Stegostoma tigrinum: one gene and its partner. The protein of the gene in region 1 interacts with the protein of each later gene in a pairwise test. Links are inferred from orthologs where the notes say so. Each region holds a gene or a part of one and is shown on either strand. Other genes may lie near its edges. The genes, in order: bccip and rpl23.

Region 1 (16,225 bases):
ACAGATTTAGTACCGTTGGACAGTGGAAGTTCCTCCTCATCTCTGTTCTAACTGGGTGACCACTTACTCTGAGGCAATGCTCTTTAGTTTAACTTTCCCACAAGGGGAAGCAACCTCTCCACATCTACCCTGTCAAGGCCTGTAATAACTTTATATGTTTGAATAAGGTCTCTTCAGATTCTGCTAAACTTCATTGAGAACAAGCCCAACCTACTAAATCTTCTTATAGAAAAATCTCTCCACACCCAGGATCAAACTATTAAGCCTTCTTAGGACTGACTCCAATGTCAATATATCTTTCCTTAGATAAGAAGAACAAAACTATTCACAGTATTTAAGCTGTGTCTGACTAGTGCCTTATATTGTTTTAGCAAGACTTATTTTTATACTCCATTCCCTTTGGAATAAAGGCCGAAATTCCATTTGTCTTCTTTATTATCTGCTAAACCGAACACTAGATTTTAGTGAGTCATACAACAGGATCCCTCTGTGCTGCAGCTCTCTGCAGTCTTTCCAAAGTTAAGTAATATTCCAGCCTTTCTATTCTTCCTGCCAAAGTGCATAAAGTAATTCTTCAAATCATTTCAAATGTACAAACCCTAATACAACTTCTGCTGATCACAACGTGACAACTTCAGTGGGTACTGTGTTATAATTTCAAATCACTTGCATTTTAGTATCTGAAAACTAACACAAAGTCAATAATTATTAAAAAATTTACCTTCTTTGATAAGTCCTGAAGTGATATAAATTCAAATGACAAAACAGGAATTAAAGTTGCTTGAAGGCCATGTGAAATAAACTCCTGATAACAAAAACAATTCAAATTCGATTGTGATAGAAATTCTGATTCCTTTTCATATAAAACTGCATAATTGAGCTTACACTGTTGTGTAATTGCCTGCAAAATGTCTCCTCCAAAAGTACATTAGCCATACAATGATTAATCAAGATGTTTTGCATTAAGGTTGTATTAATAAAAATCTATTATTTTGAATAAATATTTGCATACAATAACATTTGAAGAATTATAGAGATATAAAAGATCAAAATTAACACTTTCCCGGCCACTTACCTGAATATAAGGATCAGCTCCCAATTCTCCTTCTTTGGGTTCTTTAAGCAAAAGGACTTTCATTTCTCACACTTCATCAGAATTGCTAACATCAATAGGATTACAAATAACTAAAATGCTTCGTACGCAGGACTGTAAACTGAAATGTACAGGCACACATTTTGTTATAACAAGATAAGTGTGTCACTTAGTCATCGATGCCTCCATTTTGTAGCCACGCCCTGTTTTAAGGATTGGATATCAATATCTAAGAGTTTCATTCAAATTCAAATTATAAAGATTTACACCGCTGTCTGTGAACTACCCTTCAACAAATGTGTGTTTTTACGATAAGACTTTTTTGTTAACACTAGTTTCTGTCTCCATCTCATCTTTCTAGGAAACGTTGCTTCAGACACTCAAAGAGGTGGCTGGGTGTAAAAAGCAATATGTAGCAAATGTATGAAGAAATAATTGTACATTACATAGTGTATATTCGAATCTCATTACTGTCATTAATAAAGCATTTAATACACAGGTTAGATGAATACTGCTAAATACCACACCAATGTTTCTTAGTATCATTGTTAATGGGGCAAAGGTATAATATTTAATTATTTGAATATGCCTGTTTGACAAAACTTGTGTTAGTTAAGTCTGTGTCCTCAGCTAAATTTTCACTTGCCTAGGAATGGTGAGGATATTTGTAACTCACTCAATTCTATCCTGTCAGCCACATACTGGGCATTGAATCTTGAATTTTTCTCAACTGCACTATTGTTTAATGTTATGGCAACATACTTAACGGCATACTGGGAGATTCATGTTTCTACTGCGCATTAAGAATTCTTAAGTGAATTTCTCATTTTAAGTTTGTAACACCTTTTCTATCAATTCCTTTGCTTTCACTTACTGTACCTCACACATTTACTTCCATTTCCTGTGTGTATTTATTTCTGTCCATTCATCCTACATGTACTTGATCATGGCTCTGTTCTTTTCTCTCTGTTTCTTGGATTTTACAGGGCACCAGTCTCTGCATTCTCAGCTAAAAAGTAGATGGATGGGGAGCCCACTAATGATCTTGATGGTTGTCCCACAGCAAATTAACACTGGAAGCAGGGCTAATTGCTTTAAGGTGAGACTTCTTTTGGTTTCTCAGGAGGAAAAGTATTGGCCAATTAGTAGCTCTGTAGACTAAGCAACACCAGCTGGGCATACTGGCCAATGCTATTGCCACAGACAGTTATATCATGTCGAAGAGTCCTCGTAATTCTGGAGTTGGGGATGTCAGTGGGGGAGTGAGGTTGGGAGGCTGGGTTCATGAGACCAGGGATCAGATGATACATGGGGTTGGCCTAGAGGACTTGCAATGGAGTTCTCCACAACCCCTTCAACTGTACTCCTTGCCTGACACCAGCCTATGCAATTAAAGCTTACCGGATTTCCCACATGATGTCAGCCTCCCCAATACAGGTCAAATAATAGTGGCAGAGGAATCCTCAAAAGGTCCAAGGGCAAGTGGACAGCAGATGTCTCCCCAACGTAAAATTTTAGAAATGTCATGAGGTGGCCGAAAGATCAACAGTTTGATTTTACACGCTTCCTACCTTGACAGAAAGCAGAAGTGGCAGGGATAGCAAGGCAAGTTAATTGTAGGAGGAACCTTATAAAATTGCCAACAATAGTTGCAAACCTGAAGATTTGGAGAATTTTACAATTCAGCAAAGAAGGACAAAGAAATTGTTACAAAAACAGAATGGAATGAATGTAAGTAGTAAGAAACATAAAACAGATTGTAAAAGCCTTTGAAGATAAATATAAAGGAAATAATTAGTAGAGATGAATGAGGGTCCATTATAGTCAGAGACAGATGAATTTATAAACAAGACAGAAATGGCAGAGAAACCAAATAAATACTTTTTGTCTGTCTTTACAGAAGAAGGCAAAAGAAGTTTCCTGAAATAATGAAGATCCAGAAGTCCAGTGACCAATTGTAGAAATGAAAGAAATTAGTGTTAGTAAAGTTATAGTATTTTGGAAATTACTCCGACTGAGAGTTGACAAACCCCTGGGGCCCAATAACCTTCAAACAGATACCTAGAGAGACAATAGATGCATTAGTGATTACCTTTCAAAAATTCTGCAATGGTGCCTACAGATTGGAAGATTGAAAATTTAACCAGACTATTTAAGAAAGAAAGGGGAGGGAAAACATCACAGCTTTATTGGCTTGCACCAGTAGCAGGTAAAATACTAGACTCTGTTTTAAAAAAATGCTTTTACTGGGTATTTAGAAAATGGTTGTCTGATTGGACAGAGTCAACATAGATTTATGAAGGGGAAATCAGATTTGACAAATGTGATGAAGATTTTGATGATGCTACTAGCAGATAACAAGTGGTTATGGGATATTTGGATTTTCAGAAGTCCTTTGATAAAGTCTCACATAGGAAGTCGGCAAACAAGATTAAAGTGCATGACATTAGGGATATTGTGCAGCAATGATTAAGTATTGGTTAACACACAGAAAGCTGACAGTAGGAATGAATAGTTAATTCTCAAGTTGGTAGGGTATCTCATTGCTTAGGCCCCAGCTGTTCATAATCTGTATCAATGATCTGGGGACCAATTATAATATTTCAAGTTTGCAAATGATTCAAATGGGAATTTGAGCTGTGAGGGGGGAGGCAATGTGGCTTTAAGAATCTTAGACTGAATCTGTACTCAAGAGCATGGTAGATGGAATATAACATTGATATGTAAAAAGTTTATCCACTTTGGTAGGAGCAACAAAGGTACAGAATATTGCATTAATGGTGTTGATTGGAAAATGTTGAAATCTAAAAAGACCTAGATGTCCTTGATCATAGGTCACTGGCAGCTAGTATGCATCTGCAGCAAGCAATTCAGAAAGCAAATCGACTGTTGGTCTTTATCCCAACAGAATCTGAGCACAGGAGTTAGAGGTTCTTGTTCAGTGTACATAAAACTGGTGAGACCACAACTAGATTATTGTACACAGTTCTGATCCTCTTGGCATAGGATTACAGTAAGGTTTACCAGATTGGTTTATGGGATGCTAAGACGGTCCGATGAGGAGGGATTGAGCAGACTGGGCCTGCATTCCCTGGAGTTTAGAAGACTGAGAGGTGATCTACGAGGTACTTACAAAATTCTTGAAGGGATAGACAGGTGTCAAGTAGAAAAGATGTTTCTTGAGGTCTCAATCCAGCAGATGTTGCCTCAGAATAAAAGCCAAACCATTTAACTTGGTGCAGGCAATTCAAGAAGCACTGTTTTGGCTTGGGAATTTAATTTATAGCCTGAGAACTATGTCCGTTATATTTATTCTAACTTTTTCCCAACTTGAATACAAGTTGCAACATGGAGAATTACATTTTTAAACTTTCCAACAATAAAAACTTGTTAGTCATGAGGCTAATAGCCTTTCCTTGGTTGTTGATTGCTAACATTGCAGCTGCCACTAAGCTCTTTTTTGAAATGATCCAAATGCTTTGCTAGATAGGAGTAGCAGTAAAACAGTTGATTCAGCACTATAGCGTTTAATAAGTTCATTTGGGTTCAGGATAATGCAGCTTTTTGGACCAGCAACAATGCCAGACCCACATCCAATATCTTGATTTCTTATTCATAGCATGATTATTCATAATCCAATTTTACATTACTCTATTACCAATGAATCCTGATGGGCAAAATTATCATGAGGAATCTGTTTAATCAATGGAAGCACAGACCCTAATTTTCCGACTCACCAATGTGAACAAAAACCTCTTATTTGCTTTGTACATGATGAAGGACTATTGATCCAGTCCAGTACATTGTCTAAACATGTAAATGTGGTGCCTGTAGTCACTGTCTAAGTGATTAAGATCTGAATGAAAAGCAAAATCACAATGGGCACACTTTTACATGGGTTAGTGACGGAGGGACAGCTTACCCAATGCATCCCCCACACCCCACAGCAAAGTCAGTGAGGAGTGGATTGACCAAGAAGAAAGCCACGCTGCAGCTGTAGCTATTGCACAGGAGGGGATAGGGGTGTTAGTGCTGGTGTATCAATTGAATTCGTGGATGAGACTGGGGCAGCTACCCATCACTGGGGAGAGGTCCCACCTCTTGAAGCTGCTGACCAACCTCATTAACTAATCGCTCCAGAAGTCAGTTTGGCTCCTGTCCACCTACCATGGTATGGGAGTGAGCTCAGAGATGGGTGAGAAAGGGGTGAGGTTGGCACCCTTCCAAATTTACATACCCACTCTGCCAAAAACACAGAGGTGCATGTAAAATTCAGACCATATCTTGCAATGCTTCCCTCTATGGTTCGCTTTGTGCATATCAATATTGATCTTTCTGTTGCCCATTCAGAGTATTTATGCCACTCAGTGTCATTTCCTACTATGTACATATCTCAGTCACTCAACATACAATCCCTTTGCATGTAGCTGTCAGTCAAACTATGCCTTTGTCAATGTGATATTCTGTAAGCACCTGTGATTGAATTGTTAACTGTCACTCTTACTCAGTACGTAGCTGGGTGTCAGTATTCTGCTAGATAGGTGTCATTCAGTTTATGCGGCTCTATATGTAACTGAAATTCATACTGTTTTATCCTTGTACCACTCATCTGATATGTACCTCTCTCTGTAACTTCTCAATCTCTTGATTCTTTCACTGTTTCTAAATTATCAGACTAGTTGTCTGACATCTAACAACAAAAATCACTTCCAATTAAATATTGGGAAGATTGAAACCATTGTCTTCAGTCACTACCACAAATTCCATTTCATCACGCTCTACGGCAACCATCTGAGGCTGAACCAAATTATTCATAACATTAGCAGAATATCTGACCTCAGTACCCGTTTCAGACTATATATCTGCCATCACCAAGACTGTCTGATTTCTAACTCCGTAGAATTACCACTACCTCAGCGCATCTGCTGGAACAGTGATCCACACTTTTGTTATTTCTAGACTCAACCAGTCTAAAAAGCTCCTGGCTTCCTTCCCACATTCCAAAATCTTAAGCTCATCCTAAATTCTGCAGTGTTCTTGCATTAGTCTTATTCATTCATCAATCCTTTATTAGCCAAATTGTACTTGCTTCTGATCAAACTACTCCCAAGTTTTAAAATTCAAATTTTTTTCAAATCCCTCCATGGCCTCTCTCTGGAATTGCCTCCAGACTCTCTATGTGTTTCTGACTGTACATTTCTGTCACTTTATTTCACTGTCAACTATAAATGGATCAAAGGATATAGGGCAAAGTCAGGAGCAAGGTATTTAATTGGATCATCAGCCATTATTATTCTGAATGGCACAGCAGGCTTGAAGGGCTGAGTGGCCTATTCTGGCTCCTATATTCTATGGTTCTATGTCAATGTTTCTACATGGTGGCTCAGTGGTTAGCACTGCTGCCTCACGGCACCAGGGGCCCGGGTTTGATGCCAACCTCAGGCGACTGTCTGTGTGGAGTTTGCACATTCTCCCCATGTCTGCGTGGATTTCCTCCCACAGTCCAAAGGTGTGCAGGGTAAGTGGATCGGCCATGCTAAATTGCCCATAGTGTTGAGGGATGTGTAGATTAGGGGGATGGGACTGGGTGCGATGCTCTGAGGGTCAGTGTGTAGATCTGTTGGGCGAAGGGCCTGTTTCCACTGTAGGGATTCTATGATTTTCTACTTCTACGATCATTTTGAACTGTCACATTGTCTATGTTTTTGACTGTAGCTTTTTGCATATTTCAGGCTGGCACTGAGTATTGTCACTCTCTATATTTCTAACTGTCACTATATATGTACTTGAGGCTATCCATTTCTATGTATATCAATCTGGCACTTTCTGTATATTTCAGGTAGTCCTTTAAATGTCAGCTATGTACCCAGAGGTTATCACTCACTCTTTACATTACTTACTATCATTGACTATGTATTTGATGGTCACTGTACATTTTGGACTGTTCTTCTCCTTACATATTTTAGACCACCCCTCCCTGTATTTCAAATGTATCTTTATAATTCAGACTGTCCCTCTCTATGTAAGAAGGATCTCTATATTACAGGAGATTTCTTTTTATATTACTACAGGGACCTTTACATTCCAGAAGTCTCTCTCTTTATTAACAAAAGGTACCTACATATTTCATACTGTCCCCTCTCTGCATTGTAGGCGGATCTCTGTATACGCCACACTATCCCTCTCCATGCATTTCAGATAGATCCCTATATTACAGACAGTTTGCTCTCTCCACCACATACTGCATCCTGTCTGGACTCCCCAGATTTCAGACTGTGCCAATTATATTCCTTCTGCAACAGTATTCCAGATCGCCTCAATAGTATTCCAGACTACCCCTCCCCTCGACAGTCCAGGCACTCCCACATATTCCAGACATTTATATTCCAGACACCCCTGTATTACTCATGTCCTCCCGACAATCCAGGCCCCTTCATGATATTCCAGTCCTCACCATTTCCAGACTCCCTCCTACATCCAGACCCCTACATATTCCAACTCGTACCCCATATTCCAAAGATTACTCTTTCCAGATCCACCCCTATAATCCAGACTCCCCCAATATTTCAACCGTCCCTAAACTCCACATCTCCCCTTATACCCGAATCCACTATATTTCAGTTACGACCTATGTTCAGTCCCCCTTACATTCCAGATGTCCTCTACATTTCAGTTCTGCCTACTAAGAGTCCAGTCCGTACCTATAATCCAGATGCCCCCTACATTTCAGTCCCTCCCTGTATTCCACATCCACCCTACATTCTCATCCCCCATATTCCAGTCCCCACAATTATATTCCAACTCCCCACTTTATACTAGATCCCCTCTCTATTCCTGTCTTACTATGTTCCAGTGCTTCCTTATATTCAATCCCCTATATTCCAGTACTTCTCTATATCCCAGATGGCCCTACATTCCAGTCCCCAATGTTTCAGTCCTTGTCAAATTCCAGATCCACCCTATATTCTCAACGCCAATATACCCGTACCTACACCTTTATTCCAGTCCTTCCTTAAATCCCCACTCTATTCCAGTTCCTACTATGTTCCAGTACTTCTCTATATTCAGTCCCCAATATTCCAGAACCTCTCTGGACTCCAGATCCCCCCCATATTTCAGTAAACCCCTAGATCCCAGATCCATCCTATACTCTAATCCTGCTATATTCCAGTTTCCCCAATTACTTTTCAAATCCCTACTTTATTCCAGCCCCTCTCTGTATTTCAGATTAAACCTACATTCTAGTCCCCCTATACTTCAGATCCTCTCTCATATTTCAGTTATTTCAGTTCCTTCAAGTTACTCCCTATGTTCAGTACCACCTACCATCCAAATCCCCCTCCCCTTTATTTCCAGTCCTCTTCTATTCCTGCACTCCCATTTTCCAGATTCCTTTCTATTCCAAACCACTACATTCCATGGTCCCACCACCCCCATATTCCAGTCCTCCCTTTATCCCAGTAGCTCTCTCTCTTAGGATCAGGTGTGGAGCTGCAAGAACACAGCAGGCACGGCAGCATCAGACGACCAGGAATTCCCGATGTTTCGGGTGTGGACCCTCCTTCAGAAATCTCCTCTCTATTCCTATTCCCACCGCGCCCCCATTCCAGGTCCGCCCTATATCTACAATACTACAGACTTATTTCTCACTCACTGCCAAGGCGTTCCCACCGATGACGTCACCGCAGGTCGCCCGCTTTGGGGTCGAAGGTCATGAATGGGCAGCGCCAAATGATCCCTGCACCCAACAGTAGCTTTAATCTGACACTCACAGAAAGAGGTGTTTCTTCACACTTCACACGATACGGAATCGCAGATGATTTTCGCGGCAAGTGGGAATGGTTGTCACGGTTTAGAGCAATGATTTCCGGCTGTGGAAAAGGCCCCCGGGCAGTGTAGTTTCCGCTGACGTTGCGCTCTGGAAGATGGCGTCTTCGGCCAAACGGCGGCAGCTGGATCCGGCAGTAGAGGAGTCTAGGGGAAGTGGAACGGAGGAAGAGTCTGGGGACAGTAGTGAAGAGTCGGAGCCGGAAATACACCAAGTGAGAAAAATAACGGTCGACCCAACCGTCACCGCCCGCGAGACGGGTTTAGAACCCGAGCGCGCGCAGCCACTGGGGAGGTGGGGAGCACAGAGAGCGGGAGAGACTAGAGGATACAGGAGGTGAATTAGGCCATTCAGTCCATCAAATCTTCTCCAACATGGCCGATGTCTTTCTCAATCCCATCCTCTTGCCTTCTGTTCTCCCCATCGCCATCTCCGCCTCAAGAGGTAGCAAGAACTGCAGATGTTGGCGTCAGCGAAAATACAGCGTGGAGCTGGAGGAATACAGCAGGCCAGGCAGCATCAGAGGAACAACTTTCCGGCTGCCCTGGCTCCCTGTGTTCTTCCAGCTCCACAGTATTATCCCCACAATAACCCTTCATCCCCCTTACTAATCAACAACCTATCTGTTTCTTTTCAAGAGTGAGAGAGACTCAGGACGGAAGAGAAATGGATATGGACACAAGTGGAAAAAGTCAGGGTAGATAAGATGGAGTAGTGGAGATTGGGTGTGTTGAGGGAAATGGGAAATGGGAAAGGGTAGTGGGGCAGAGGAGAGGGTAAAATTGTATCAGAGATAATGGGAACTGCAGATGCTGGAGAATTCGAGATAACAGAGTGTGGAGCTGGATGAACACAGCAGGCCAAGCAGCATCTCAGGAGCACAACAGCTGACGTTTTGGGCCAAGGCCCTTCTTCAGAAAAGGGGGAGGGGGAGGCAGATTGAAGAAGGATAGAGGAGAAGATAGGTGGAGAGGAGACAGACAAGTTAGAAGGGCAGGGATGGAGCCTGTAGAGGTGTGTGCAGGTGGGGAGGTAGGGAATGGATAGGTCAATCTGGGGAGGACGGATAGGCCAAGGGGGTGGGGTGAGGTTAATAGGTAGGAAATAGAGGTGCGGCTTGAGGTGGGAGGAGGGCATAGGTGAGAGGAAGAACTGGTTAGGGAGGCTGGGATGAGCTGGGCTGGTTTTGGGATGCAGTGGGGGGGGGGAAGAAGGGAGATTTTCAATCTTGTGAAATCCACATTGATACCATTGGGCTGCAGGGTTTCCAAGCGGAATATGAGTTGCTGTTCCTGCAACCGTCGGGTGGCGTCGTTGTGGCACTGCAGGAGGCCCCGTATGGACATGTCGTCTGAGGAATGGGAGGGGGAGTTGAAATGGTTCACGACTGGGCGGTGCAGTTGTTTATTGTGGACCGAGCGTAGGTGTTCTGCAAAGCGGTCCCCATGCCTTCACTTGGTTTCCCTGATGTAGAGGAGGCCACAACAGGTACAGCGGATGCAGTATACCACATCGGCAGATGTGCAGGTGAACAACTGCTTGATGTGGAAGCCCGCCTTGGGCGTGGGATGGGGGTGAGGGAGGTGATGTGTGGGCAAGTGTAGCACTTCCTGGGGTTGCAGGGGATAGTGCCGGGCGTGGTAGGGTTGGAGGGGTGTCTGGAGCAGACAAGGGAGTCACGGAGAGAGTGGTCTCTCCGGAAAGCAGACAAGGGTGGGGATGGAAAAATGTCTTGGTGTTGGGGTCAGATTGTAGATGGTGGAAGTGTTGGAGGGTGATGCGTTGGATCCGGAGGTTGATCGGGTGGTATCTGAGGACGAGGGGGATTCTCTTTTGGTGGTTATTGCAGGGACGGGATGTGAGGGATGAGTTGCGGTGAATGCAGGAGGCATGGTCGAGGATATTCTCGAACACTGCGGGGGAAGTTGTGATCCTTGAAGGATGAGTTATGTCTGGGATGTACGGGAGTGGAATGCCTCATCCTGGGAGCAGATGTGGCGGAGGTGATGGAATTGGGAATAGGGGATGGAATTTTAGCAGGAAGGTGGGTGGGAGGAGGTGTATTCCAGGTAGCTGTGGGAGTCGGTGGCCTTGAAATGGATATCGGTTTCTAGATGGTTGCCTGAGATGAAGACAGAGAGGTCCAGCAAGGTGAGGGATGTGTTTGGAGATGGTCCAGGTGAACTTCAAGGACCGCGACTTCCCCTCCGCAGTGGTCAAGAATGCTCTCGACCGTGTCTCCCGCATTTCCCGCAACTCATCTGTGATTCCCTTGTCTGCTCCACACTCCCCTCCAACCCCACCACACCTGGCACTTTCCCCTGCAACTGCGGGAAGTGCTACACTTGCCCACACACCACCTCCCTCAACCCCATCCCATGCTCCAAGAAGACCTTCCACATCAAGCAGATGTTCACCTGCACATCTGCCGATGTGGTATACTGCATTTGCTGTACCTGTTGTGGCCACCTCTACATCAGGTAAACTAAGTGGAGGCTTGGGGACTGCTTTGCAGAACACCTATACTTGGTCTGCAATAAACAACAGCACCTCCCAGTCACGAACCATTTCAACTACCCCCCCCTTTCATTCCTCAGACAACATGTCCATCCTGGGCCTCCTACAGTGCCACAACAATGCCACCCGAAGGTTGCAGGAACAGCAACTCGTATTCCGCCTGGGAACCCTGTAACCCAATTGTGTCAATGTGGATTTCACAAGCTTCAGAATCTCTCCACCCTCCCCCCTCACCACCACTGCATCCCAAAACTAGCCCAGCTCGTCCCCACCTCCCTAACCTGTTAGACCATAAGGCCATAAGACATAGGAGTGGAAGTGAGGCCATTCAGCCCATCAAGTCCACTCCGCCATTTAAATCATGGCTGATGGGCATTTCAACACCACTTCCCTGCACTACCCCCCGTAGCCCTTGATTCCTTTTGAGATCAAGAATTTGTCGATCTCTGCCTTGAAGGCATCCAACGCCCCTGCCTCCACTGCACTCTGCGGCAATGAATTCCACAAGCCCACCACTCTCTGGCTGAAGAAATGTCGTCTCATTTCAGTTTTAAATTTACCCCCTCTAATTTTAAGGCTATGCCCACGGGTCCTAGTCTCCCTGCCTAACGGAAACAACTTCCTAGCGTCCACCCCTTCTAAACCATACATTATCTTGTAAGTTTCTATTAGATCTCCCCTCAACCTTCTAAACTCTAATGAGTACAATCCCAGGATCCTTAGCCGTTCATCATACGTTAAACCTACCATTCCAGGGATCATCGCTGTGAATCTCCGCTGGACACCCTCCAGGGCTAATATGTTCTTCCTGAGGTGTGTGGCCCAAAATTGGACACAGTATTCTAAATGGGGCCTAACTAGAGCCTTACAAAGCCTCAGAAGCACATCGCTGCTTTTATATTCCAACCCTCTTGAGATAAACAACAACATTACATTCACTTTCTTAATTACGGACTCTACCTGCAAGTTAACCTTTAGAGAATCCTGGACCAACACTCCCAGATCCCTTTTGCACTTCTGATCTGCGAATTTTCTCACCGTTTAAATTGCCTGTATTTTTTTTTTCCAAAGTGCAAAACCCCACATTTACTCACATTGAATTTCATCAGCCATTTCCTGGACCACTCTCCTAAACTGTCTAAGTCTTTCTGCAGCTTCCCCACCTCCTCAGTACTACCTGCCCGTCCACCTATCTTCGTATCATCAGCAAACTTCGCCAGAATGCCCCCAGTCCCTTCATCCAGATCATTAATATACAAGGTGAACAGCTGTGGCCCCAACACTGAACCCTGCGCGACACCACTCGTCACCGATTGCCGTTCCGAAAAAGACCCTTTTATCCCAACTCTCTGCCTTCTGTCAGACAGCCAATCCTCAATCCAAGCCAGTAGCTCACCTTGAACACCATGGGCCCTCACCTTGCTCAGCAGCCTCCCGTGAGGCACTGTATCAAAGGCCTTTTGGAAGTCTAGATAGATAACATCTACTGGGTTTCCCTGGTCTAACATACTTGTTACCTCTTCAAAGAATTCTCACAGGTTTGTCAGGCATGACCTCCCCTTACTAAAACCATGCTGACATGTTTTAATCTGACCCTGCACTTCCAGGAATTTAGAAATCTCATCCTTGACAATGAATTCTAGAATTTTACCAACTATTGAGGTTAAGCTAATCGGCCTATAATTTTCCATCTTTTGCCTTGATCCTTTCTTAAACAAGGGAGTTACAACAGTAGTTTTCCAATCATCTGGGACTTTCCCTGACTCCAGTGATTTTTGAAAGATCACGACCAAAGCCTCCGCTATTTCCTCAGCCACGTCCCTCAGAACTCTGGGATGCAGCCCATTGGGGCCAGGAGATTTATCAATTTTTAGCTTTTCTAGCACTTTCTCGTTTGTAATGCCTACCATACTCAACTCTGCCCCCTGGCTCTCCCTAATTGTTGGCATACTACTCATGTCTTCCACTGTGAAGACTGATGCGAAGTATTTATTAAGTTCTTCAGCTATTTCCTTATCTCCCATCACTAGCCTTCCTGCATCAATTTGGAGCGGGCCAATATCTACTTTTGCCTCTTGTTTGTTTCTTATGTATTGAAAGAAGCTTTTACTATCATTTCTAATATTACTAGCTAGCTTACCTTCATATTTGATCTTCTCCTTCCTTATTGCTCTCTTTGTTATCCTCTGTCTGTTTTTGTAGCTTTCCCAACCTTCTGATTTCCCAGTGCTCTTGGCCACTTTATAGGCTGTCTCTTTTTCTTTGACATATCTCCTGACTTCCTTTGTCAGCCATGGCTGTCTAAGCCCACCCCGGATAATCTTTCTTTTCTTTGGGATGAACCTCTGTACTGTGTCCTCAATTACACCCAGAAATTCCTGCCATTGTTGGTCTACTGCCTTCCTTGCTAGGCTCTGCTTCTAGTCGATTTTCATCAATTCCTCTCTCATGCCCCTGTAATTACCTTTATTTAACTGTAACACCATTACATCCGATTTTGCCTTCTCTCTTTCACACTGCAGATTGAACTCTACCATATTATGATCGCTGCCTCCGAAGTGTTCCCTTACTTTAAGGTCTTTTATAAAGTCTGGCTCATTACATAGCAGTAAGTCCAGAATAGCCTGCTCCCTTGTGGGCTCCATCACAAGCTGTTCCCAAAAGCCATCCTGCAAACATACCATGCATTCTCTTTCTTTGGATCCACCAGCAGCATTATTCACCCAATCCACCTGCATATTGAAGTCCCCCATGATCACCGTGACCTTGCCTTTCTGACATGCCCTATTTATTTCTCGGTGCATCTTGCGACCCTTGTCCTGATCACTGTTAGGAGGTCTATACATAACTCCCATTATAGTTTTTTTTTGCTTTTGTGGTTCTCAATTCCACCCACACAGACTCCACATATACTGACCCTCTGTCATTCAGTGCCATAGATTTAATTCCATTCTTAACTAACAATGCAACCCCACCCCCTCTGCCCACCTCCCTGTCTTTTCGATATGTTGTGAATCCTTGGATGTTTAACTGCCAGTCCTGAGCTCCCTGCAACCTTGTGTCTGTGATGCCTATCACATCATAATCATTCAAGAGGATTTGTGCTGTTAATTCATCTACTTTGTTGTGAATACCGAGAGCATTTAGATAAAGTGTCTTAATGCTAGCTTTCTTATCATTATTAGAGAGGTTGGAAATCCCAAAGTGTCTTAAGCTATCCTTCCTTTTTGCTGTATTCCTAGTCTGCCTCGAGCTTAAATCCACCTGTACGCATGCTATCCTGTTGCTTATCTTTTCACTTAACTCCATACTCCCTCTCTCTTTCACTTTCCTTTCCCCCCGACTCACTAGTTTAAAGTCCTACTGACCACCCTATTTATCCTTTTCGCTAGAATGTTCTTCCTCTCACTTATGCCCTCCTCCCACTTCAAGCTGCAACTCCATTTCCTACCTACTAACTTCATCCCGCCCCCTTGACCTGTCCGTCCTCCCCGGACTGACCTATCCCATCCCTACCTCCCCACTCTCTAAACTCACCTCTAGAGGCTTCATTCCCGCCCCTTTAACCTGTCTGTCTCCTCTCCACCTATCTTCTCCTCTATCCATCTTCGATCTGCCTCCCCCTCTCTCCCTATTTATTTCAAAACCCTCTCCCCCTCCCCCTTTTCTGATGAAGGATCTAGGCCTGAAACGGCAGCTTTTGTGCTCCTAAGATGCTGCTTGGCCTGCTGTGTTCATCCAGCTTCACACTTTATTATCTCGGAGGAGCAGATAGTTGCGCAGTGGGCAAAAGTTGGAGGATGATAAGAAAGGGAAGAAGTTGGAGGGAAGGGGACAAGAAATTGGCGGAAGGGTTGAAGGGGAGGGGACAAGGAAGGTGAGAGAGCCCAATTGATTTGGACCACCTCCGCCTTAATCACTCAATTCACCATCTCTGTGTTGCAAAATACACTGCAGCCATTCACCAAGGTTCCTTCTCAACTTCCCAAACTCATTTGCCAAATTGGTTGCATTTCCAAGTTGCTTGTGTTGAAAATATGTATTCATTCTTTTACTGTCACTATGGTAAATACTAGAGGCCCCTATGTAACCGCAGTGGTGCAAGGTGGCATCTTGCCGCCATCTTGGTAATTGCAGATGGGTTAAACGATACTGACTTTGCTGCTGGTGTCCCACCCTCTATGGTGTTAATGCCTGCATATGTTTACAAATATTTCTGTTCTGCAGGAAGTGCAAGTAGATTTTGAAGCGCATGCCATATCTGACAATGATCATAATGGAATCAAGAGACTGTTGCAACAGGTAACTTTGAAAATGTGAGATTTTTTTAGGTGTAGGTTTTGTGTGGCTAATTTAGTGCCAATTTACAACAGTTGTAATGCTGCATTTCATTGTTTTTCCTTTTGCAGTTATTTCTCAAGGCCAGTATCAACATCATTGAACTAGCTAACATCATAATTCAACAAAATCATGTTGGAAGTGTTATTCGGGTATGTCAACTGAGTTGGCTTTGTTCTTAAGTACTATCACAGAGTACCTGATCAAAACTGAGAAAGATAATAATAGCTTTTTTCCCTGCTTGATCTTCATATTTTTAAAATAGATTTTTGAGCTTGAAAATTGAGCTTAAAGTTGCAAATAAATTTGGTTTGTCATTTGGTCAAATTAGCTCATAAAAATTGCAGATTCTGATACAGAGTCTGGTTAGGCATGTTTTGATAATTCCAGATTATTCTGCAATGTTTCATGTATTTCATATGATTTAACCAACATAAACATGAGACCTA
Region 2 (16,141 bases), on another chromosome or scaffold:
TTAATGGAGACAGGGAGAACAAAAGGCACCTGGCAGGACCAGAAGCTACAGTTGGTGATGCCCTTTGAATAAGTGAGAGTAGCATCTTGTAACTTTTTGTTTGTTTACGTTTAGTTTGAAAGTGGCAAGGGATCATAAACACAAAGCAGCTTCATAGAATTATACCTAAAATTATAACACCTCCTCCATTGCATAGTGTACACTTTAGCTGCATTACAGTAGATCAATTTGTCCCAGAGAGAGGTTGACTCCACAGAGTGTAAAATCATCATAATCCCAGAGGACTGCTGTCTCCTCAGAGAGACAGAGAGAGACAATGCATGCTGGTTTAACCTGAGCGTCTCTGTGCCTCAGGCAAGGGGTGAGGCTCAGAAAGCAGGATCTTCATGGTAACCTCAAAGGGTACAGAAATTGAACCCACACTGTTGGTGCATTGGCTGTCTAGCCAAGTTAACCAAACCTCTTTCCAAGTGCAGTTGTGCTGAGTCTCGCATTCCTGCCTTTTGACCAATAAGTTCCTACAAGTTCCTTAGCTTCAAGTATCTGTTCCATGCCCCGCTTCAAAACATTAATGGAATCAGTTTCTACCACACTTCCAGACAGCACTCCAGGTCCTGATAATTCCCTGAATGAACAGAATTCCCCACATCATCCCTTTGGATCATCTTATAGTTCATTTATAGTTTACTGTCTTTTGATGTTGATCCTCACAAAGTGAATTACTGTGCACATGTCCACATTTAACTCCATCTGTCATGCCCCTATTCATGTCACCATCCTATCTGCCACATTTGCTATTCTATTTTAATCTGAAAGGTTTGATTTTGTTTTATTTTCAGACATATCATAGAACTTGGAACAATACAGGGCAGAACAGGCCCTTCGGCCCTCAATGTTGCGCCGACCTGTGAACTAATCTAAGCCCATCCCTCTACACTATCCCATCATCCTCCATATTCGTCTCATGGTTATGATTATTTGGCCAGAAAAATCCTATCACAGTAAGAAAGTGTGAAATTGGATTCAATAAATTTTGGAGCAGAAAAATAATCTGTCATGAACCTGACGTTAAAAACCCAAGTGATTAATGAAATTCTTTCAAGTAAAGGAAGCCACATTACCCAGCCTGGCCTACGTAGGCTTTCAGCTCCCAGAGACTGATTCTTAATGACCTATAGTGATTACGGATGGGCAGTAAATGCCTCTATTGGTGTCACCTACATTCCAAAACCAAAACTAAATTGCCACATCGGAATTCCCAACTATCATGAACGTTCTTAACTTCTTTGAAGGTTCTAGGGGTTAACAAAATGTCCAGGTAAAGGGATAACACAGTGTGGATCTGAAGGAACACAGCAGGCCGGGCAGCATCAGAGGAGCAGGTAAGAACCAAGAATAAAGAAAATTACCTCACAGGAACAGGCCCTTTGGCACTCCAAACCTGCGTTGATCCAGATCCTCTATCTAAACCTTTCACCTATTTTCCAAGGATCTCTATCCCTCTGCTCTCTGCCCATTCATGTGCCTGTCTAGATACATCTTAAATGACACTATCGTGCCCGCATCTACCACCTCCGCTGGCAACATGTTCCAGGCACCCACCACCCTCTGTGTAAAGAACTTTCCAAGTATATCTCCCTTAAACTTTTCCCCTCTCATCTTGAAATCGTGACGGGTAGTAATTGAGTACCCCACTCTGGGAAAAAGCTTCTTGCTATCCACCCTGTCTATACCTCTCATGATTTTGTAGACCTCAATCAGGAACCCCTCAATCTCCATCTTTCTGGTGTCAATAATCTTAATCTACTCAACCTCACTTTATAGCTAGCACCCTCCATACCAGGCAACAGCCTCGTGAACTTCCTCTGCACCCTCTCCAAAGCATCCACATCCTTTTGGTAATGTGGCAACCAGAACTGTACGCAGTATTCCAGATGTGGTCGAACCAAAGTCCTTTACAACTGTAACATGACCGACCAACTCTTGTACTCAATTCCCCTTCATTGAAGGAAAGCATGCCGTATGCCTTCTTGACCACTCTATCGACCTGCGTTGTCACTTTTAGGGTACAATGGACCTGGACACCCAGATCTCTTTATGCATCAGTTTTCCCCAGGGCTTTTCCATTTACTGTATAGTTCACTCTTGAATTGGATCTTCCAAAATGCATCACCTCGCATTTGCCTGGATTGAATTCCATCTGCCATTTATCTGCTCAACTCTCCAATCTATCTATATTCTGCTGTAATCTCTGACAGTTTCCTTCACTATCTGCTACTCCACCAATCTTAGTGTCATCTGCAAACGTGCTAATCACACATCTATACATTCCTCCAGATCATTTATGTATATCACAAACAACAGTGGTCCCAACACAGACCCCTGTGGAACACCACTGGTCACAGTTCTCCATTTTGAGAAACTCCCATCCACTACAACTCTCTGCCTCCTGTTGCCCAGCCAACTCTCTATCCATCCAGCTGCTACACCTTGGACGCCATGCAACTTCACTTTCTCCATCAGCCTACCATGGGGAAGCTTATCAAACACCTCACTGAAGTCAATGTATTTGAAATCTACAGCCCTTCCCTCATCCATCAACTTTGTCACTTCCTCAAAGAATTCTATCAAGTTGGCAGTGGTGGGGATTGGTCAATGCCTACCTGCACTCATCTATCGCCATTGCACCTACCTTCCCCAGCCCCTCTTATCCCTGCCTCCTTGACCTGTCCGTCTTCTCTCCCACCTCACTGACTAATCCCCACTGCTACCTACCTGCACTCACTATCACTATCACCATCCCATCTACCTTCCCCAGCCCAACCCACTCTCTCACTATTTGTTTCAAAGCCCCCTTCCCCTCCCCCATTTCTGAAGATGGGTCCTGACCCGAAACAGCAGCTTTCCTGCTCCTCTGATGCTGCCTAACCTGCTGTGTTCCTCCAGCTCCACACTGTGTTATCTCAGACTCCAGCATCAGCAGTTGTTATTTATTGCCAGATAAAGGAATATTGGCTGAGCAAATTTCTTGGTCCTCACATTGATAGTGTTTTGAGAAACACTTGTAGCTTAAAGGAAAACCTCTGAATGTGCTGTTGCAATTATGTCATTGCACCCTTGATCAAACATCACACTAATTCTTAGATAACAAAGTGTAGAGTTAGATGAACACAGCAGGCTGAGCAGCATCAGAGGAGCAGGAAAGTTGCCATTTCGGGTCGGGACCCTTCTTCAGAAATGGCTTTCCTGCTCCTCTGATGCTGCTTGGCCTGCTGTGTTCATCCAGCTCTACACCTTGTTATCTCAGATTCTCCAGCATCGGCAGTTCCTACTATCTGTCTCATATTGATTCTTGATGTTTACACTTTGGTAAAACTCAGGAAAACAACACTCTTTGGGGTTCAGCAATCACCAAGTTGTTTGGATCTTTCCCAGCAGACAGTTGAAATTCATAGTTAAAACAACATCAGTCCAGCTCCTCATCACCCAACAGTCTCCATGAAACTGACCCATACATAAAGACAACGTCACTAACTCAAACATAGAGATAGTAAGAATTGCAGATGCTGGGCAATCTGTGATAACAAGGTGTAGAGCTGGATGAACACAGCAGGCCAAGCAGCATCAAAGGAGCAGAAAAGCTGACATTTTGGGCACAGGAGCTTTCCTGCTCCTCTGATGCAGCTTGGCCTGCAGTGTTCATCCAGCTCTACACCTTGTTATCTCACTAATTCAAAAGTGTGCAGTGTTATTGAGTACCTGATTCAGTGTAATCTAACTCAACTAACAATATCAGCATTAAAACAGTGATTTCTTCATGCTACATTCAGTTGGTACAATCATTTACACACTGTTCTATTTTGGCAAAGGACCCATTGACTCGAGGAAATCCACTATAATTTGGACACCTCAATCAAATTCTTCTGTAGCCTTTTGTGCTATAGGTACCATAATCCCAACATCTCTATTCTCCCCACATAACTGTTGTCATTCATCCTTGGTCTCATTCTATTAAATCTCTTCTGCACCGTTTCCACAGATTTGATATTCTTCTAATATACTCTGGCTCAAAAATCATCCTGGATCCACCTCTGTCTCATTTAGACTCTTATTTTTCAAGGCATAGCTGTCTATCGAAACACACCACCTCACACTCATGTATATTGTAATTAACTTGGCATTTAAACATTCATTTTGTCATTTTGCTGACATAATTGTATCAATGACTTGGCTGCTTGCCAAGCTTTTTCAGTACAGTTACAACAGGGATATCTACCTAACAACAGATGCTGCCAGACCTGCTGAGCTTTTTCAGCAACTTCTGTTTTTATTTCTGATTTACAGCATCCGTAGTTCTTTCAGTTTCTAATGTGGACAATTGTCCTGGTATGTCTTATACATCTCGAACATCAGTAAAGTGATGGAAAGTGTCACTAACAGCACTATCTAGCAGCACCTGCTCAGCAATAACCTGCCCAGTGACACCCAGTTTGGGTTCCACCAGGGCCACTCAGCTCCTGACCTCATTACAGCCTTGGTTCGAACATGGACAAAAGAGCTGAATTCCAGCGGTGAGGTGAGAGTGACAGCCCTTGACATCAAGGCTGCATTTGTCTGAGTGTGATATCAAAGAGCCCTGGCAAAACTGGAATCAATGGAAATCAGGGGAAGAGTCTCTGTAGGTTGTACATACACCCAGCATAAAAAATGATGGTCGTTGGAGGTCTAATTGGAGTATACAAGATTCTGAGGAGACTTTGACATAAAATTGTGGAGGTTGATCACTGGAAGTATTTAAAGAAGAGGTAAACAGATTTTTTAAGTATTGTGGAGTTGAAGGCTATGAGGAGTTGGCATGAATGTAGGGGTTGAGGGCTTGGAGTAGATCAGCCATTGGATTATGTGGCAGGGATGAATGGCCTAATTCTGCTTTTTTAAAATGTTTTTATGCTGCTAAAAGCACCTTTCCTATCATGTTTCTTCTCTTGCATGAACCTGTTTTTGGCCCCTTCCCCTTTGCTCTCTGCTGGTTGTGTAACCCAAGACAGCGAGCACCAAATGAACTGTCTCCCTGATGGCGTCCAGGACACTTAGCTAAAATCACACAGTTTCTTGTGAATGCTGTTTGGAAGTCACTGTGTAAAATTAATGTCTGACTGTTTTTAAAAAAAAGTCATTACCATTCACCACATGTCAACACAAATCTAGAAGGTAATGTTCCACATGACTTAATCATGTAATAAACAGAAATGAGAATTAAAAATAGAGCTCCTTAAACCAAGAAATAGACACAGAAATCAGAAAGTAACTCTTGAGAAGAAATGTGTCCTGGTTAACAATTCTTTGACAATGAGTTTACACACAGCCATGTCCATGTTTAACAGTCGCAAAGGATACCTGTTCCCTCCTTAAAGACACCTATGCCTAGGCCTGAAACAGCTTGTCAGAGACCAATATCCCATCACCAAGTCACCTTTTATTTATACACAAATTGTTCTTGACTAGTATTGCTTCATTCAGAGTCAGGTACCAGAGCATCAGCATCTCTGACATTTTCAATCAAAATACACATGCTTGGAGTCAGCTGCTGCTTTATGTCGAGGGGTGCTTCACGGGAATTAAGGATGTCGATAGGCTGGGACTTTCCTCCCTGGAGCGTTGAAAGCTGAGGGGTGACATTGAAGACATTTATAAAATCATGAGGGGCTTAGATAAGGTGAGGAGCCAAGGTCTTTTCCCCAGGGTAAGGCAGTCCAAAGGTAGAGGGCATAGTTTTAGGTTGGAAAGGAGAAAGATATAAAGGGGACCCGAAGGTTACTTTTTCACACAGAGGGTGATGCGTGTGTGGAACGAGCTGCCAGAGAAAGCGGTTGGGGTGAATACAATTACAACATTAAAAAGACATTTGGATGGGTTCCTGAATAGGAATGGTTTAGAGGGATGCAAGCCAAATGCAAGCAAATGGGGCCAGTTCAGTTCAGGATACTTGCTCAGCATGGGCGAGTTGGACCCAAGGGTCTGTTTCCGTGCTGTATGACTCTATGTGCAAATTAGGATTCATCCCCATTTCCTCCAAGAATTACTCAAGATATTGCAAAGACTGTATCCAGGGACAGGGCTTCTGGATTCTGGCCTGGCATTTTCATGCAGATGGAGGACCTCTCCGTCGATGTGAAAATTTGGTCCAAAATGGGAGATTGGAGAAAAATAAAATTTGAAACAATTTTTTAAAAATTATTTTAAAATCTTTAACAGTAACTGTTGTAACAATAAGATATCACACATTTAAAATCTCATTTTTAGTGTTGCAAATGTTGTTTGCACATAACTAGGAGCTGGTATGTAATTTAAATTCATTTACACTTTATTCAATAAGGCTGTCTCTTTTTCTACGATATGTAAAAGATACACAAGCCAACATCATGTCTTACATGTATTTCAGAAGTGTCAGATAGTACAAAAGGGCTTCTAGAAAATTAAAGTATCTCAGATTGCAAGTTGTACACGTCTGTGTTTAACTGAGTATGAGCCAAATACAGGAATCTCACTTATTCTGTAATAGCCGCGAATACCACTAACCTCACCATTATTTCCACAGCAAAATCAGAACCAAAGTAGTCTTCTTCAAATGTCTCTTTTTTTAAAGCTCTGCAGACATATTGGTAATCAAACACCGGCTTATTTGATTCAAACTCTTGCTTGGTGACAGAACCCTGCAGAGCAGATTTTTTGAAGAAAGGTCCTGATGTGAAACAACAAAGTGCGGAGCTGGATGAACACAGCAGGCCAAGCAGCATCTCAGGAGCACAAAAGCTGCTGTTTTGGGCCTAGACCCTTCAAACGTCAACTTTCCTGCTCCTCTGCTGCCTGGCCTGCTGTGTTCCTCCAGCCTCACACTGTGTTAGCTCTAACTCCAGCATTGGAAGTTCTTACTAATCTGTGATCAGATTGTGCTTGTTAATTTCAAGGTGTGATTGCTTACAATATTCTCTGTACTTGTGTTTATTCTAGCCTTATTTTTATTTATCACTGTCCACATATTCCTCTATTCCCTTCTGTCTCACAAGCTTCTGAAAAGTCACCATAGTGCCAGAGGGCAGCTCTCTCCTTAGAGAGCAGTAACTGGCAGTGAGTATAATGAGGTGAGATTGAGAAGGCAGGAACTTTATGACGTGGGGAAATGTACCCACAATGTCGTGTCTCTGCATCTCAAACCAACTGAGTTAAACAACCCCTAAGATGAAATTTCAAGTTCACATCAGGATTTGAACCACAGGCTTCAATTCACAGTCAAATGTGTTTTATTTTATATGATCCCTCCATGTAGAAACAGGTCATTCAGCCCAAAGAGTCCACACTGACTCTCCAAAGAGCATCCCACCCAGACCTATCCCCTTAGCCTAGTTCTGTAACCCTCCATTTCCCATGGCTAACGTACCTAACCTACACATCCCTGAACACTATGGGGCAATTTAGCATGACCAATCGACCTAACTTGTACATCTTTGGACTGTGGGAGGAAACCGAAGGACCCAGCAGAAACCCACGCAGACACAGTGAGAACATGCAAACTCCACATAGACAGTCGCCTGAGAGTGGAATCGAATGCTGTGAGGCAGCAGTGCTAACCACTGAGCTACCATGCCACCAGCTCTGCATTGAACCATTGTACCTATTTGGCTTTCAGTCAAATGCTTTTTAAAAATGCAATGATACTTTAAATACACTTTCCACTGTGACCATTGCATGTAAGTTTCACAATGTCTTCAGGCTGTAGGTTGATTTTTGACTTGTTAGTGAGTTTTTGCACTGATTACAGCCAGATTTCATTCCAGATCAACTTATCTGGTGGCACAATATCCTTAAAGTTGCAACTTGTTGCAATGACTCATGTAACACCGCTAATGAGATCCTTTAAGTGGTTAGAGCTTTGAGGAAGTCAGTAGACAAGGAGAGACTATTCTCATTTGGGCAAACCCAAGAATCAAAGGATTTCAGGCTACTGACAAAAGAAGCAATGATGCCATGAGGAAAGCATTTTTTGCAGAAAGCAACAGTCTTGATGTAGCCTCATATCATTCCAAACTTTAAATGTGAACTCTCCCTTTCTGATGCTGCCAAACCTGCTGCATTTCTCCAGTCTTCTCTGTGTTGGTTTCAGATTCCCAGCATCTGTTTGTATTTTGCTTTCACTTTCTGCAGCAAATTGTTTCGACTGTGAGAAGGCTGTGGCAGCATGGCTTACGGGGGAAGAGAAACTGCATAATTATCTCAAAATGAAATATCTTGCAGGCGATAGGGAGAAGACAGGAGAGTGATACTAAATGAACTGAAATAAACAAAAAGCGCTGATGAAACTTAGCAGGTCTGCCAGCACCTATAGACAAAGAGAGAGAAACAGAGTTAACATTTCAAGTCCAGTAACCCTTCTTCAGAATTGCTGTTGCAAATAACCAACAGTGAAGACAAAACTCCCCCCACTGCACCACACAACCAGCCCAGCTCTTCCCCCCCACCCACTGCATCCCAAAACCAGTCCAACCTGTCTCTGCCTCCCTAACCGGTTCTTCCTCTCACCCATCCCTTCCTCCCACCCCAAGCCGCACCCCCAGCTACCTACTAACCTCATCCCACCTCCTTGACCTGTCCGTCTTCCCTGGACTGACCTATCCCCTCCCTACCTCCCCACCTACACTCTCTCCACCTATCTTCTTTACTCTCCATCTTCGGTCCGCCTCCCCCTCTCTCCCTATTTATTCCAGTTCCCTCCCCCCATCCCCCTCTCTGATGAAGGGTCTAGGCCCGAAACGTCAGCTTTTGTGCTCCTGAGATGCTGCTTGGCCTGCTGTGTTCATCCAGCCTCACATTTTATTCTCAAGGGTAAATAACCTCCTCGCATGCTGTCAATCTTCTGCATATGAATATTTCCGCATTGTGCATGTTTTGTCACATGACATGCTGTCACGTGGTGTCTGTTCACGCGTAATGTGCGTCGTTACGTCATGTTGCGTGTGTTGGCGATATATCCCATGATTCAAGGTGCTAGGTCTCTTTCCCTGAATTACAATGTCTAAGAGAGGTAAGCGGTTGGGGGGACCCTCAATGGAATCCACTGCCATCCGTGTTACATATCGCCGGCACTCCTGTTTTTGTATTTGGATCATTATTACAATTGTCTTAGCTATCGCTTGGTGTGACTGTTAGTAAAAATCAGCGGACTTTATCACATAATAAGCCTCTTATTGTTCTGGTGTCCGTGGCGGCCGCCATGTTGGATCCAACCCGGCTCGTGGGGGCCGAGAGACTTGCAAAGTTCGGTCCCTACCGAGAAACTGGTTTAACATTCGCTGCAATACCGTGGAAAGGGTGTACATCGGTTATCTGGGTGAAGCCGGGAGTAGGCTGCCTTCTAGGCGTAGGCGGCCGCTCCATGTCGTTGACTTCAGCAGCGAGGCCCTATCAGAAAGCTGTTGTTTGGGGCTTTCACTTGAAGGGAGACGTCTTAATGCTGTAACTTCAGCCTGCTGTGTGGAGACGTTTAGGCAAAGCAACGGAACACATGGGTGTTAAAAATGATTAGTTTGCATGCTCCACATCCCACCTTTTCTTATTGTGAAGTTCTGCTTAGATGGCAGTATCAATTATTACCCCAGAAACACAGAATTCTGGAAATAATTAGTAATAGACAAGATCTGAATTGTCCTGCACCTGCCTGTTAATATTTCAAGTTTACAAGGTCTGCCTCTAATTATACAAGGTTGGCTAAGCTTCTGACATTAAACTAGCCCTCTTTCTTTAATGAAGATGTTGGAAAACTTAATTACTTTGTTTGGGAATTCAGTTACACATCTGCATTACCCTATGTAAAGATCATAGAACGGCCTGTGGGAAGTGACCAGCAGTTACAAGTCCTGGCTAAATATAATTCCATGTTGCTTTTGATTAGTTGCATACTGCTGAAATATCTTTTATTTTCCTTGGTTGCAGGACGTGGTGGTTCGTCCGGAGCGAAGTTTCGCATCTCCCTCGGTCTCCCCGTGGGGGCTGTGATTAACTGCGCTGATAATACAGGTAAGAATGTTTTTGTCTCTGAGTCCTATATGGTAAGACAGAATAATTCTACATTTGGCCTTTTTGTCTCTGAAAGGATATTACCTTTGAAGGAAATGCAGGAAAAGTTTGCTAGTCAGATTTCTGGCATGTGGGGAGTTTCCTTTGGGAAATATTAAGGGGCCAAGGCATATTCATGGGATTTTTGATGAAAGGGGACGAGCGATTATTAGAATGTAGTGTCAAGTTTAAAATCAGATCAGCTATGATTTTGTTGAATAGTGGAGCAGGCTCAAAGGGCCAAATGACCTGTTCTGGCTTTTATGTTATAAGCAAGACTGCTAAAATGTATAAAATCCTTAAGGCTTGAGAGAGTGAGTGTTAAATAGTTGTTTGCTTTGCTTTGAGGAGTCTATATATAGGTGTGTCAGTTCAAAGTGAGAGGTTGATTATTTTGGATTTAGAAGAAATGCCCTCACATAGAGTTGTAGTTCTTGAAAATCCCGGTGAACTGTGGATGATGCTTATGAATGTGTTGAAGGTTGCTCTTGACAGATTTCTGGTTCCTAAGAAATAGAGGTAGTATAGTTGGTAGATTGAATACAAGAATATTGAATGGCAGGACTGACTCATGCCCTCCTGCCTAAAGGTAGGAAGGTCTGTTCTGGTGAAATTAAGTAGTTTTTCTAGGATTGTGTCCAGCTATATTACTACTGGGCATTCAATATTTTAGCATAGAGGGATTTGGGGCCTTATTTTAAAATGATCTTTGTGTGAGATTGTGTGCATTTATTCTTGCATATTGTCAAGACGTGCTTTGAATGGTTTATGCCTGTGTATGTTTTGAAGCGTGGCGTCAGCTTTTTTTCTATGGTAACTGTAGGAAGATGTTTTACCTGTTTGCTGATCATGTGCTTTCAGGGGCCAAGAACCTGTACATCATCTCTGTCAAAGGCATCAAGGGACGTTTGAACAGACTACCAGCTGCTGGTGTTGGTGACATGGTCATGGCAACTGTAAAGAAAGGCAAACCAGAACTCCGGAAAAAGGGTGAGTAAGCTCCTTGAAATTAGTGAATCGGAATGGTGAAGTGGAAGATCTTGCAGCCTGTAAGTGTGGCTTTGAATCAGTATAAATTGTCCAATCCATTGTCAGCAGTGGGAATTCTCAAGTACAGCACTATGGGTGTAATGTTGTTTTTATCAAATCATGTTTTAATCTCCAGGGCTTTATATACACTGAGGAATCCTAGATGTCTATTTTACTCATATGTTCATTTGGATATCTCCTTTTTCCATCTTGTGCATGTCTTCAGTTCATTAAATAAAGTTGGTGTAGAGTAGCAGGGAGACAGGCTTTTCCTTAGTTGATTCTTGAATGTGGACAAGAGATGCAGTTGACACCAAGGAGAGAATGGGGTGTGTTGGATTGCAAGACCAAGTAGCAATGTCACATACTGTGGGGTTATTCTCAAGTATCATTGGAAATAAGTGGATGATGTGGGTGTTTATAACTGGTTGAGGTTGTGTTGAGAACCTTGATATTCAAGTAACTCAAAGCTGATTCTGCTTTCCTTAGATTCAGTTTATAAATGTAGCGTGGGCATCACCTGCATTTAGAATGACAACCTGTAACTAACCTGTAGCAAAACTAGTAACCTGTCTGTGAATTAACATTTGAATTGCTTCACTCAGGATGCATTGGGGTCATTTGGGAAGTCAGTGCATGCACTTCAGATGTGTTTTTACTTTTTGCTCTCAACAGTTTTCTACTAGAACTCAAATGAATGGAGGATAGTACGTAATGGAATTAGCGAGTTTTGAGAAGATTTGTAGCTCAGGTTGAGGTTCTGGATGTGAGTTTGCTCACTGAGCTGGAAGGTTCGTTTTCAGATGTTTCATCACCATACTAGGTAACATCATCAGTGAGCCTCTGACGAAGCGCTGGTGTTATGTCCCGCTTTCTATTTAGAAAATAGAAAGCGGGACATAACACCAGCTCTTCGTTGGAGGCTCACTGATGATGTTACCTAGTATGGTGACGAAACGTAATGGAATTATTGGATAATGCTTAAATGTGATTGCCTGGTTTACTTGGGTCTGTCAGTGACTGACTCCATGTGTTTTATATTGTGCCTCTGAGTGTAATATTCTCATTGGCATCCACAGTGTACATAGTAATGTTTTGTTACTGTTTATATTTGTCTCTCTTTGTTGAGTGGTGCAGAAGATTGCTTGTTTATGCTTAGTGTGAAATATTGCCACTTGCTCACAATTTCTGAACTTCATAGTCCAAAAGCAAAGTTGTGAAATCTGTTTTGTGCATACTAAGATAATACATAATAACTCAAAGAATAAAGAACGTGTCGCCATTTGAAGTCTGAACACTTTTTTGTGCTTGTATGTGTGTAATACTTATGGACTGTCTATACCTCAGATTTGGTGCTTGGGTTAATATTTTCTATTTCAGGCAATCACATACATGTCATGCCATCTATAACTTGTTCCCTTTCAAAGCTGAATAGTCTGCACCTTGGATTTTCATCATGATTGTATTTTACTGACTGGTTCACCCTCCTAAAAGCATGCACTTTGTCTGTACTGTGTGACTCAGTGAGTTGTCAGGGATGGGAATAGTAATTCATTGCTTTTGGGTGAGATTGCAGCTGCATTGTTGTAGAATCTCAATCCGCAGTGAAACAGTTTGCAGTCTGATTCTTGAAGAGATGGGGCCGTGATTTAAATGGCTTCACAAGGCTGACTTCAGTGCAGTTTGCTGTGTGTTTGTTGTTCAACTACAAAGATGACTTTCTGTTCCATAGCTCTACAATGGAATAAATTGAAACCAAAATAAGCATGGCAATTAGCTCATTTAGGTCTTGTTTCATAATGGGAGATTGCAAATACCGATCATCTTTTCTGTTTCCTCACGGTACAGTGCATCCAGCAGTAGTGATACGGCAACGGAAAGCATACCGGAGAAAAGATGGAGTATTTCTCTACTTCGAAGACAATGCAGGGGTGATAGTAAATAACAAAGGAGAAATGAAAGGTATAGGTGACAGTCGAAAAATCTACAATTTAATGTTTCACTTCTGTATTCCTATGTTTCCTTTTTCCAGCTGTTCAGAATTCTCATCTCTGTTGTATTGAACGCTGCACAGTTCCCTTCCTAAAAGCACTTGCTTTGCCTCTTCTCCATGGCTTATCAAGTTGTCGCGGAAGGGCAGAGCAACGCATTGCTTTTGGGTGAGGTGGCAGCTGCTATGTGCTGTACAATCTCAAGTAGTGGTGTGACACTCCATTGCAAATCCTGAAACTTGATTCAGTCACTTTTTTTCTCCCATTGTATCTCAGCAATGAGCTGAAGGCTTATTCCGGTTGTGAGAAGCAAGTGAGTTCGTTTTGCAACTGGATTTGGAATGCTTATCCATCTTGTGCCTCTACTGACTGGAAGTAGTCAGTCTTGAATTTCCTGGGGTTTTTTCACCCAATTTTAATCAGCTGCTGGGGGTCTGTTTCAATATGAATTAAAGAACCTGACATTTATAAATGCTGCTGTCCCTTAAATTGTTTCACTCATTGAATTCTAATTGTTAATAATTTTTTTCCAAAATCCTGAAACCATCCAGTGCTGCACTGAGTTGGCTAAATGTCTGGCCAGCAGCTAAGAATAACGCCAGTAAAACAGATTGGTTTCCTTAAAACCAGGATACGTCGGAGTCAGCCCGTTGAGCCTACTCTGCCATTCAATGAGATTACAGCCAATCTGATGATCCTCAAATCCACTTTCCTGCCTTTTCCCTATGACTGTTAATCCGCTGATGGAAAACCTGCCTTACCGTTGAATATGCTGAATGACCCGGAGTCAGCTCCCTGCAGCAAAGAATTGAAAAAAATTGTGTATTTCAATAAGGTTACTCGTTATTTTTCTGAACTCCATGGGTATGGACCGAGTCAACCTCTCCTTAAAAGATAGTCCCTCCGCGCCTGGTATCAACCTCGTGAACCTTGGGGTGGATAATCTCCAATCTCAGCATATCTTTCCTTCATATAGTTTTAGCAGAGAATCCTTTCTTTCATACTCCATTCCCTTTTTGATATTTGCACAGGGACTCCCAAGTCCCCCTGTTCTGTAACTTTGTGTTTTTATGCATTTAAATAATATTCAGCTCTACCCTCCTGCCAAAGTGCGTAACCTCACATTTCCCTATGTTCTATACCATCTGCCAAGTTTTTACCCTGCTTACCGTTACAAGTTATCATCTTCACCACTTGCCTTCCCACCTATTGGTCGTCTGCAAACTTGGCGACAGTTCATTCACTTTCCTCATCCAAGTAATTAACACTACCCTGAAGTAGATTGGACCTGCATCCCTGTCTTTGATGTAGATTGGTCCCCCTTGAACTGTGGAAGAGCTGCCTGTTATTTTACCTGTCATCTGATACAGTTGCAATTTTAACACTGATCTTTTACAGATAGAAGAGAAATGATTATTCCCTCTAACTTTAATCAATAGTTAGATATCTGTTTCTATGTTGCATTTGTCATATTTTAAGCAATTTGTCTCCTGGTCAACTTGTGACTTGCTAATAATACCTGGTTTTGTTTCTAGGCTCTGCAATCACAGGCCCTGTTGCCAAGGAGTGTGCAGATCTGTGGCCCAGGATTGCTTCCAATGCTGGGAGCATCGCATAAGAATTATAAACACTTTCTATAACAACACCTGTACAATTCAATAAATATTTTTACTCCGAGATTTGAGAAGTCATTGAGTTTATTTTTAATTGTTCTCTAATTTATCTGTAGCACGTTCTGTAATCAGATGTGGTTTGCACTTGCTGTTTGTAAATAAAATAACCTCTATTTGATAATCTTCACTCAAGTCTTACATTTTGATATCAACTGTCTCTCTTCTGCAGATTACGTAATTGGGAAATTCCACTGTCTTTATCTCCCGAAAAGGTGACTTAGCTAAGCAAGCTGTTAACTTGTAATCTATCTGTTGATTTAAAATGTTATTTCCTGAATGAATGTTTGGAGATGGTTAAAATGCAAATTTTGAGGCTGGATTGACAGTCTAACTTAGGACAAATGAAAATTGTTTACACTGCCCCCACCCACCTCCAAATTCGTCACATAAGTTAGGTTTATACAAAATTTATAAAATCAAATACTGCAGATGCTGTAAATCTGCAGTTGGCACAAATGCTGGAAAAACTTGTCAGCATCTGTGGAGAGAGAAAGTTTTACATTTTTGAGTCTGGAATGACATGAGCACAACAGAAATCAGTTCTAAAGGAGTGATCATAGAATACCTACAGTGTGGAAACAGACCTATCAGACTCGTAATGTTAATTCTGGTTTTCTCTCCAAGTTGATGCAACATATGTATTGGTGTACAAATTGACTGAAGCACTTTGGGACATGTAGTGATTCTGAAAATGTTTGCAAATCTTCTCTGATCTTCAAACAGGAGAACTTGGACTGAAATTTATGTGTCCCTTCACCTTTGCTCTTGGCCTTTTGTTAGGATTGCTCGTCTTAGCACTGACAAATTGAATCCTCGGATGTTGCAGCGCCTTGATGAGAAAAGCTAAAGTAGATTATTTTTGAAGAGGGTGGTTACGTGGATCATTGTTTGGAATTCAGAGGCTTATTGAAATTTCAATACAAGCCGTTGCAATTCAGTTGACAGTTCACCTCTGAGGTCCATGGAGAGAAAACATGATGTAGGTTCCTGATCAGCAATTTTTGTTGGAAAGTGTACTTGTGCAAAAGGGAGTAAGGGCAGGGTCAGATTTTGTTCTTCACAGTTGAATGATGTGCCAATATCATTTGTCTTTGGTCAAATTAGGCTTTCAAAGTTTGAGATAATAGGTGTCTCAATGGAAGCCTTTTATTTAGATGGGGAAATTCCACTAGCTGCAAGCCCATTGTCGAATGTGCAAAATTGAGTATTTAAATAGTTCTCCTTCAGTTAAAAGATGTGCTATCTCATGTATCTTTTCATAGTGAGTTTAGTGTCTTTGAATAGATGTTACTAGATCTTGAGTAAAGCATTGAACCAGAGATGAAGTATAATAATGCT

The links.
Region 2: the proteins of bccip (region 1) and rpl23 interact in binary tests that used the Homo sapiens proteins (3 or more experiments, as listed by UniProt). The link is inferred for Stegostoma tigrinum from reciprocal best matches to the Homo sapiens genes BCCIP and RPL23.

What each region holds. Positions count from the first base shown.
Region 1 is NC_081373.1:31,757,693-31,773,917, forward strand, and holds the start of bccip (protein BCCIP homolog), read left to right. Parts: upstream 1-8,791; 5' UTR 8,792-9,018; coding exon 9,019-9,135; intron 9,136-15,665; coding exon 15,666-15,740; intron 15,741-15,847; coding exon 15,848-15,928; intron 15,929-16,225. Other genes in the region: uros (uroporphyrinogen-III synthase), read right to left, coding at 722-805, 1,076-1,138. UniProt on the Homo sapiens protein: During interphase, required for microtubule organizing and anchoring activities. During mitosis, required for the organization and stabilization of the spindle pole.
Region 2 is NC_081384.1:7,373,006-7,389,146, reverse strand, and holds rpl23 (large ribosomal subunit protein uL14), read left to right. Parts: upstream 1-8,969; 5' UTR 8,970-9,066; coding exon 9,067-9,079; intron 9,080-9,987; coding exon 9,988-10,071; intron 10,072-10,971; coding exon 10,972-11,100; intron 11,101-12,987; coding exon 12,988-13,101; intron 13,102-14,665; coding exon 14,666-14,748; 3' UTR 14,749-14,807; downstream 14,808-16,141.